Nothobranchius furzeri: one gene and its partner. The protein of the gene in region 2 binds, or shares a complex with, the protein of the main gene of each other region. Links are inferred from orthologs where the notes say so. Each region holds a gene or a part of one and is shown on either strand. Other genes may lie near its edges. The genes, in order: ptp4a3a and metal transporter CNNM3.

Evidence for each region.
Region 1: the proteins of metal transporter CNNM3 (region 2) and ptp4a3a are in contact, whole or in part, in a crystal structure (PDB 5TSR), measured with the Homo sapiens proteins. The link is inferred for Nothobranchius furzeri from reciprocal best matches to the Homo sapiens genes CNNM3 and PTP4A3. Residues at the interface, in NP_060093.3 of Homo sapiens: Ser357, Asn358, Phe394, Asp396, Lys418, Val419, Asn421, Glu424, Gly425, Asp426, Pro427, Phe428, Tyr429; in NP_001425170.1 of Homo sapiens: Asn5, Pro7, Asp72, Gly73, Ala74, Val105, Ala106, Leu108, Gly109, Arg110, Arg137, Arg138, Gly139, Ala140, Ile141, Asn142, Lys144, Gln145.

What each region holds. Positions count from the first base shown.
Region 1 is NC_091745.1:41,275,825-41,280,370, forward strand, and holds the start of ptp4a3a (protein tyrosine phosphatase type IVA 3), read left to right. Parts: upstream 1-1,679; 5' UTR 1,680-1,936; intron 1,937-2,166; exon of another isoform or gene 2,167-2,354; intron 2,355-3,706; 5' UTR 3,707-4,142; intron 4,143-4,546. UniProt on the Homo sapiens protein: Protein tyrosine phosphatase which stimulates progression from G1 into S phase during mitosis. Enhances cell proliferation, cell motility and invasive activity, and promotes cancer metastasis.
Region 2 is NC_091746.1:39,506,111-39,510,459, reverse strand, and holds the start of metal transporter CNNM3, read right to left. Parts: upstream 3,014-4,349; 5' UTR 2,913-3,013; coding exon 2,229-2,912; intron 2,156-2,228; coding exon 1,821-2,155; intron 722-1,820; coding exon 545-721; intron 1-544. UniProt on the Homo sapiens protein: Probable metal transporter.

The DNA of each region.
Region 1 (4,546 bases), on a different chromosome or scaffold from region 2:
TGCCATCTGAAGCTACTTTCTCCTCCAGCGGACTTGTACTTCCTGATTCAGGAGCACTGAATGACTTCCAAGGTATTCATTCTTACTAGAGACCACTGCAAATGTATTGATTAAACAAGTATTTTTAACACTTCTGATTCAGTTACAATAAAGTTCAGACCTTCATGACGACGGTGGCACAGGAGTTAAGTGCTCGCCCTGTAATCGGAAGGTTGCAGGTTGGAGTCCCGCTCAGTCTGTCGCTGTCATTGTGTCCTTGGGCAAGACACTTAACCCACGTTGCCTGCTGGTGGTGGTCGGAGGGACCGGTGGCGCCAGTGCTCGGCAGCCTCCCCTCTGTCAGTGCGCCCCAGGGCAGCTGTGGCTACATCGTAGCTCATCACCACCAGTGTGTGAATGTGTGTGTGAATGGATGAATGACTGATTGTGTTGAAAAGCGCCTTGGGGGGTTCCAGGACTCTAGAACAGGGGTGTCAAATGTGCGGCCCGCGGGCCGATTCCGGCCCGCAAGTGGGTTAAATACGGCCCGCAAGATGGTTGTGTAAACTTTATTTTCATACTTTACAATGTAGAGTGAAAATAAACTCATCTTTGTGAGCAAGTTTTCTCTTTAATGAGTATAAATAAAACAAAGCTGCGCTCAAGGCTCGCACAAGAACTTGAATCACAACCTGAAGTTGGCCGCCACTCAGGATGTGACTTCTGATATTGATGTGCTGGTGAAAGCTAAAAGATGTAAAGTAAAATGAGTCAAATATACTTTAAGTGCTGCATGAAACTGATCTAGCCTTGTGATCTGTAAGCTCTTTGAATCACGAATGTTTTTTTATTGATTGATTTTTGATTTTTTTTCAAATTTTCAAGTACACTTCAGGTGTTGTACTATTTTGGATACACTGTCCAGCCTTGTTTTATATTCTTAGGTGTGTTCTTGCTGTGTCTTTGTAAATCCATGCTTTCGTTCTTTTTTAAACACAGAAGCTGCCCGCAGATAAACGGAGAAGGAAGTGACGCGCCACCATCAGCGTCAGCCTGAAGAAGCCGGCAGCTGTCGGCGAAACCGTAGCTACAAACAGTTAAACAAAACTGTTTCTGTGTTTAAAAAAGAACGAAAGCATGGACTTGTTTTATATTGATTGTATTAAAACAAGGAAAACAATCTGAAGTTGTTTTTAATTTACCGGTCCGGCCCACTTGGGACTAGATTTCCCTCAATGTGGCCCCTTAGCTAACATGAGTTTGACACCCCTGCTCTAGAAGGTGCTATATCAAATACAGACCATTTACCATTCTGAAGAAATAACCACAAGGTCAGAAATACAAAGTGATGTAAAATGTTCTAAAATCCACTTTACCATTTTTTAAAATGAGAGTCGTTTTAGAACAACAAAAATCTGTGCTCTCGTTCTCTCTGTGACTCGTCGTGAGCTCATCTGTTTAGACAGAACTAATCCCTAATTCTACAAACATTTTGTACAAAGATCTTTCTACAACAGGTCTGAATGTAGCTGTTCCCCAGCCACGTCAACACTTTCCTTCAGGACGAGGAGCATTTATGTTACAGAACGTTATCATCTCTCCAAGAGCATTAACTCTGGTTGGTTCTGGTGGTGACGGGACCGTCAGGATCAGATGGCCGCTTAGCCTGATTAAACCAGCTCACAGCAGATCCTCAGCACACTGCTGAGGTGGAGCTACAAACAGGCACATGCAGCGCCGAGCAGGACAGAAGGACACAGAGGACAGCTGAATGTTGTAGAGGGACGAAGCTACAAGTTTCTGCAGGAAGACTTACCCTCCCTGCAGTTGGACTAAGGAACACCTCAGCCACTTGTTGCAGAAGGACTAAAACTATAAGCAGAATTTCATTGAGGCAGAGAGCCAAACATTTCTAAACCTATTTCTGCATTAGGAGAGACCCCTCAGGAACTAAAAGGTACAGTTTGTTTGACTCATTGCTGCCGTTTCATGAAAAAGCTGTAAAATTTGTTGTGGCACTTGAAGAATGTCGAAAAAAGCAAGAATTCCAATGAATGGTTTCTTGGATTGTTATTGAGCTTAAGAAACTCTCTGGAATGCCTCAAACACTAGATGTGCTGTACAATCACCCGCTGGTACAGATGGAGCTATAAATACAGCTGTGGGTGTTTAGGAGGTTTACTATAACAGGCAGTCAGCTGGTCGGATGTCAGCTCCCAAACGTCGGTGCAGCTGCTGAGGCTCCTGCAGAACTCTTGTGTTTTTGTGGACTTGCCTGAGCTGAAGCTGGGAGGTGAGAGAAGTGAGAGTTACATATTTAATTTGAGTGACCTGGATGATTCACTCTGCCGCCGCAGCTGTTTTGGGCACTAGAGGTAAGTGTGGGATTTATGCTGCTGTTGCACCTTGTTGTTAAGAGCAGCGTGCCTCAGTCTGACTTACGATGCTGCCACGCACTGGCACAACAGCTGGCCTTCGGGTCTTTTGGGTTCTGACCTCACCTCACATCAACGGAAAAGACTGTCTTGTCTTAAAACAAAATAAAGAGTCACGCTCTTACGTACACGGCGTGCTTTAGATGTCTTCTAGTTGTGTAGGACTGCTTCTCACACCGTCTCCTCACAAACAGATAAATATTGTTAGTTTTAACGTTTCTAATTGACTCTGTGTAAAACAAGCTACCTCCACCCTGACTATTATTAACAGCAAGAGATAAATTCCTAATTATAGATCGTCAACATCCTATTTTGGTTCTGGTAGAGTGTTATAGGTGAGGACAGATTACCTCCAGGGCTTTTCCTGGTAATATTTCTGAGTGTTTAGGGAGGGAGCAGAAGGTTACACCTAACTCAGAATGTTACCTTTCTATTGCTCAACGCCCCCCTCATTAGACAAAATAATCACCCTGTCTGGGTCGTTTAACAGGGAACGTTTATCAGCAGAACTGAACTTTTCTATCGTTTAATCTATTAGCAGTGCTGATTCGTCACATTTAGAGAGATTTTGTGTAATGAGAGACGGGTTGGAGATGTATGTAGATGATTTTTTTTATTTTATAAATCCAGGGAATTTAAAAGCATTTTATTCCTTATAAATTTGGCAGAAAATCACGTTTTCTTTTTCTTTACTCCTGATCAACAACCCAAGTAAATATAAACAAACAGCCCATTTAAGATGAAAACAGAAGAAATATCATCAATACTCAGAATCGGTGACAAATAGGAACAACAACGATGAAGGTAACAAAATGGAAGCTAAATGGAAATCAAAAACAATTTCCTTTTATAATAACTTTCTGTATTCAGACCCATTCGCTGGTTCCTTTCTGGTTCGATAAGTGATCCTCTTTCTGAGTTTTGTTTATTGTTGTTATTGTTAATTAACAAATTTAAGCCATTTGCATCAGTTACATGACTGGTTTGTTGCACAAGTCAAAGGCAGTCAAAAGGTCAGAGGAGGTACGACTTGTTTCTATAAAGATGCCACAATCCATCTCCTCGTTCAGGAGAGCCATCTCTGGTGACGAACGTGCACGATGAGTCATTTATTTATGTATGGTTAAAAAGATTTGACATTCATGTGATCTAAACATCCAGGATTTATAGGATTTGCCTGCTACGTTGTAGCATATTTGAATAATAATGGTGATTTGTGTGTGTGTGTGTGTGTGTGTGTGTGTGCGTGCGTGCGTGCGTGCGTGTGTGTGTGTGTGTGTTTTGTATTCCAGAACTGCCGGTTGATGGAGTTTGTGAGGCAGAGTGGTGACTATTGCCACGCTCAACACCTTTAGACCGTGTTGGGATGACACAGCGGCATGCAGTCCTGGGGCCATGAACCTTGAAAGATCACGGCCCTTTGCCTTATGAACCCATCAGCTCATGGGGTCACAAGTGGAGCCTCAACACCCAAAGCTAGCTGGAGTGAAAAGGAGAGAGAAAAAGTCACCGAGGACAACAAAGAAAGACAGGATTAGTGACAATAGCAGAGGGGATCACTAAACTGACAGCGAGTAGCCACATGGACTATAGAAAACTGTCATCAGATAGGAGAGCAGCCCAGAGCCTCAGAGCTGGGGACACACAGTAAATAGTTGCTACGAGGAAGAAGTCTTGATTCATCTGAAGATCTGATCTTCAGCCAGACTGCTACAGCTGGAGCTAAAGGTGAGGATGCGCCGCATCTGGGATGACTGATGTGATGCTCCAACAAGAGGGTTCTGCAGGGGTGTTTGTAGATTTCACACCAGATTCAGAAAGCTCCCGTCTAAAGGCTCTTAGATTAGTCTAAGTGCTGCAAAGCGATGACTTGGATTTGCTGGGAAGAATGAAACTGTGACACGGAGATATGTCTCCTTTCTGATAAAATGCACACGTCTTGGCATTAAATAACAAAATTATTCAGAATAAGTGTTTCAATTCTAAGATACTTTATTAATCCCAGAGGGAAATTAGAGTTTCAGTACACACAATTCAGAGATCAGACATACATGGGCAAAGACACATGACAAGAATTGGTGACTGTGGTCATTCGCAACCCTGAGTCGCGCTACTTTAACAGAGATCAGAAG
Region 2 (4,349 bases):
GTCAGTGTAATCACAAGCTCTTCTTATTTACTGATTTATTTTTGCAGCAGCAGGTTATCTCCTGTGGAGGAGATGGAGAAAACAACCAAAATCAGTGTCTGCCTACGACTCCTCTTGCTTTGCATCTTTATCTTTAACATGATGCAGAAAGTATTTTTAGTTGCTGAAAGCAGCCTGATCACACAGATGTAACGTCTGCTACAGCGCCCCCTGGTGTTTGGATCCCAGCACTTATGTTTGTTTACATCTCAAACCAGCCTGCTCACCAGTCAGAACTAAAATATGAGAAAATGATGAAGCTGATTAGAAGTAAACTGTTTTCTTATATGTAAAACTGTAACGTGAATAATAGGAATATGTAAAAATTAGGGTTTTCATTTGATTAAAAGGTATAAAAAAAGTCCGATCTAACATCCCCAAACATGCAAACCCTTTGCTCAAATTCTTTCTGACTTGACTTTTTGCACTGCATGTTGCAACACGATGAACTCAAATAAAAACATTAGCGTAATAATAAGACATATCCCTGTGCTGTTGCTCCCACCTCTCCTCTTCGTAGATGGGCACCCGGGTGTACCCGCTCTGCATGATCTCCGACATGGTGGAAAAGTCGAGAACAGCTGAGCTCTGCAGCATGAAGCAGTCCTTCAGAGGAGTCAGGATGTCCTCCACTGTCTTTGTACGCAGCATCCCACGGCTGAACTCCTCCTTCACAAACTCACTGCACACACAAGCACACAAAGACAACAGACAACGTTAGAGTGTTTAGTTTACGACTTTATTTTTTCTGATGTTAATCTATTTCTGTTTTGAGATCATTATGATTTGATGACTTTGTTTTGTTTTGATCTATGTGACGCACTTTGTGATTCTATGTCTGTGATAAGTGCTATACAAATAAAATTTACTTACTAGTTGTCTGGACTCTGGACTGAGTCCACGGAAAGGTCAGGACTTAAGTCTTTGCACAAAGATTTCAAACTCCAAGCTTCAAGGTTGGTTTTTTTTTGTTTATTCTCTTCATTTTTATTTCCAAGACCACTATATCAAAGTCTTTGAGACTGCATGGTGTTGCAGTTGGTAACACTGTTGTGTCAGAGCAAGAAGGTTGCAGGTTTAATCCCAGCAGCAGCCTTTCTGCATGAAGTTATGCTTTGCTACATGCATCCATGAATTTTCTCCAGTTTTCCTAGTTTCCTTCCCACAGACCAAAAACATGCATGTCTGTTTAAAACCGTAAGTCTCTTTAGACGCAGAATGGTGCACAATTTCAGGTTTCTGTTTGGTTAACCTTGAATCAGCTTAATTCCACTTCACAATTGTGTGCTACGTTGTCTTCTATCACAGAAAATCTCAGTAAAGTGTGGTTGTAAATTGTTTGTTTTAATGTAGGTTTTGTGTTAGATTTAAGTAAACAAGTAAAAATGACTTGTATAAAGGGGTAGGGATATATAAGTTTCCACTTCAGCCTACTCCTTTTCAAACACAGATGGGATGATATGTATTTTTTCTGTTTGTGGTACTTTTTAAAAAATTATGTACATTTTCTTTGTTTGAAATAAACTAAACTAAACTAAAATGTGTCAAAGTTCAAGGGGTCTGGATACTTCTGCAGTATCACAATAATAACATTTTTGCATGTTTTTATTTAAAAAATTATACTTATAGTTTTTAAGCCATCAGACAAAGTCACAGATCAAACTGAAGGTGTCTGAAAGGAACTTAGACCAAGTCCTGTTTTAGCCTCTCAGATCAGTTCTTCTCCGGATGATTCAAACCCTTATTTTAGATCCTTATGTTTACCAACAAAGTTATTTTACCTGTATGGGTCGTTGACACTGGCTCGGATCATCTCCATGGCTCTCTGCCTTATCCCACAGGTGCTGATGTCCCTTCCCAGGCCCAGGTCCAGGATCAGCCCCAAAGGGCAGGACAGAGGGCAGGTGAGAATCATGCACACCTGGGCCAGCCAGGTGAGCGCGGGCGCCATCTGAAAGCCGTAGTCGGAGCACAGGATGTGAGGAGCCAGCTCAGCCAGGAAGAAGATGAGGAATCCGCTGGTAAAGACCGCGGAGACGATGCACCCCAGCGCCTTGTACAGCAGCACCCCCAGGACCGAGTGTCCCAACGCGCACAGGAACAGCAGCGAACAGGTCTGGACGGAAACAGGAATGGTGGGAACACGGACACAAAGCTGCCTTCCCGACCTGCTGGGCTCAGAAACTCACCAGGAAGTTCCCTCTTCTCCTGACGGGCTCCAGGCGCTTGGCGGCTCGTTTCTCCTCCTCGGACCCGCAGCTGTGGAGCACGTAAAGCTCCACCGGGTCCAGCCACAGCAGGCTCAGGTTCACCGTCCGGAACACTCCGCACATCAGCAGCAGCAGCACCACCAGGAGGGCCAGACCCCACGGCGGGATGTAGTCTGCTCCGGGACTCTCCTCGGGACTGATCCGGAGTCTGTCCGGGCCAACAGAAGCCCACCTGCCCCCGCTCAGCGCACACAGGTGGTGGAGGCTGCGCCCGCTGCCCTTCACCTCCACAGTCAGCAGTCCGCTGAACTCCTCGTCCGGGATGAAGTCCTTCGTCACCTGGAAGGCGGACTCCAGACGGCTGGACTCGTCTTCGCACGGGTCGGGGGCATCACCGACCGCCCCCGTGGCTCCGTCAGCCGCCTCAGCGAACGCGACTTTCGGCCAGCTTCCATTCAGGTTAGCCCCAAAGAGACGGAGCTTGAACGTGGCTCCTTCTGGCGCTGAGATAATCCGGTCCTTCATGCACACCAGCTCTTCCGGGTCCTCCAGTCGCAGCCCCACAACCTGCGGAACTTCTTGGCCGCAGGCGCTGTCTCTAATCCCGCAGAGCAACACTATTATCATCCACAGAACCCGTAGACCTGCCAAGCTGGCCACCATATTGGAGATAGTCAGCCTTGCTCTGCGCGGGTCACGTGACTCTTGCTTGGCGGCCCCGCCCACCTGGAGAACTCATGAAGCTGCGCACCGGGGGCGGACATTTTGGCTCAAGCCACCCAAGCTGAAGACGGGAGGAGTCGGGAGATGAGCGGTCATTTTGGAGCTGGATTCTGAATGTTTTTGTTTTCAACACGCCGCCCGTTGGCTGTGAGAGTTCGCAGCGATGAGTTCACGCCCATCTTTGTTAACATTCATCGAAACAAGCCCCTCATGACTGTGGCTGACGAAGGCGCTTTGTTTGCCTTTTAACGTTTATTCAGAGCTCATAAATAGGTTTACCTTTTCCATGTCCGTCTGAAATCGATTGCTAATGAGTTACAAATTCAATTAGATGTATGCCATGTTTTTATCATCCTAGTGCTTTACAGAATAAAGTTATCTATTAGTGCTGACAACAGACAGCAACATGGCTTGAATAACACACGCTTTCAATTCTCCTGTTTTATTCTTTGTTTCCTCAGGCCACCATAAACCAGTCTTGGGATATTTACAATTCGCCATTGGTTTAAAAAATGTAAATAATGGCTACCAGGCATTCCTGGCAGCATTAGAACTGGTTAAGAAGGACAACATCTTAAAAATTATGAAACAGTCTGGCAGATTTTGACAATATCTGTGAGTGAGTTGAAGGGCGGGCAGTATGGGATCCAGCACAAGTCATTTATGAATGGAAGATATACTCGACCAAATAATTTCTTCATTATTGGGCCCACATATACCGTGGGTACAGAAAGTATTCAGACCCCCGTCAATTTTCCACTCTTTGTTATTTTGCAGGCATTTGCTAAAATCAATTAAATTCATTTAATTCCTCATTAATGTACACACACCCCATATTGACTTGGCCATTCAAGAACAGCCACACAAAGTTGTCGTGATGCCATTCCTTTGTTATTTTAGCTGTGTGCTCAGGGCCATTGTCAGGTTGGAAGGTAAACCTAACCCCAATTTGAGGTCCCTGAGCACTCTGGAGAAGATTCTCGTCCAGGATATTCCTGTACTTGGCCTCATTCATTGTTCCCTTGATTGCAACCAGTCATCCTGTCCCTGCAACTGAACCTGAATCCAGGTTCAGTTGCAGGGAACCTGTAAGGACTCCAAAGCGCTTTACACTGTAGTGTAAAGCGCTTTGGAGTCCTTACTCTGAGGGGCGCTATACAAGTGCGGGTCATTTATCATTTTAACCCCTCCCCCCATGATGCTGCCACCGCCATGCTTCGCTGTGGAGACTATTGGACAAGTGATGAGCAGTGCTTGGGCTTCCCCACACACAACACTTAGAATTAAGGCCAAAACGTTCTATCTTTGTCTCATTAGACCAGATAATCTTATTTCTCACCATCTCAGGTGTCTTTTAGCAAACTCCATGCGGGCTTT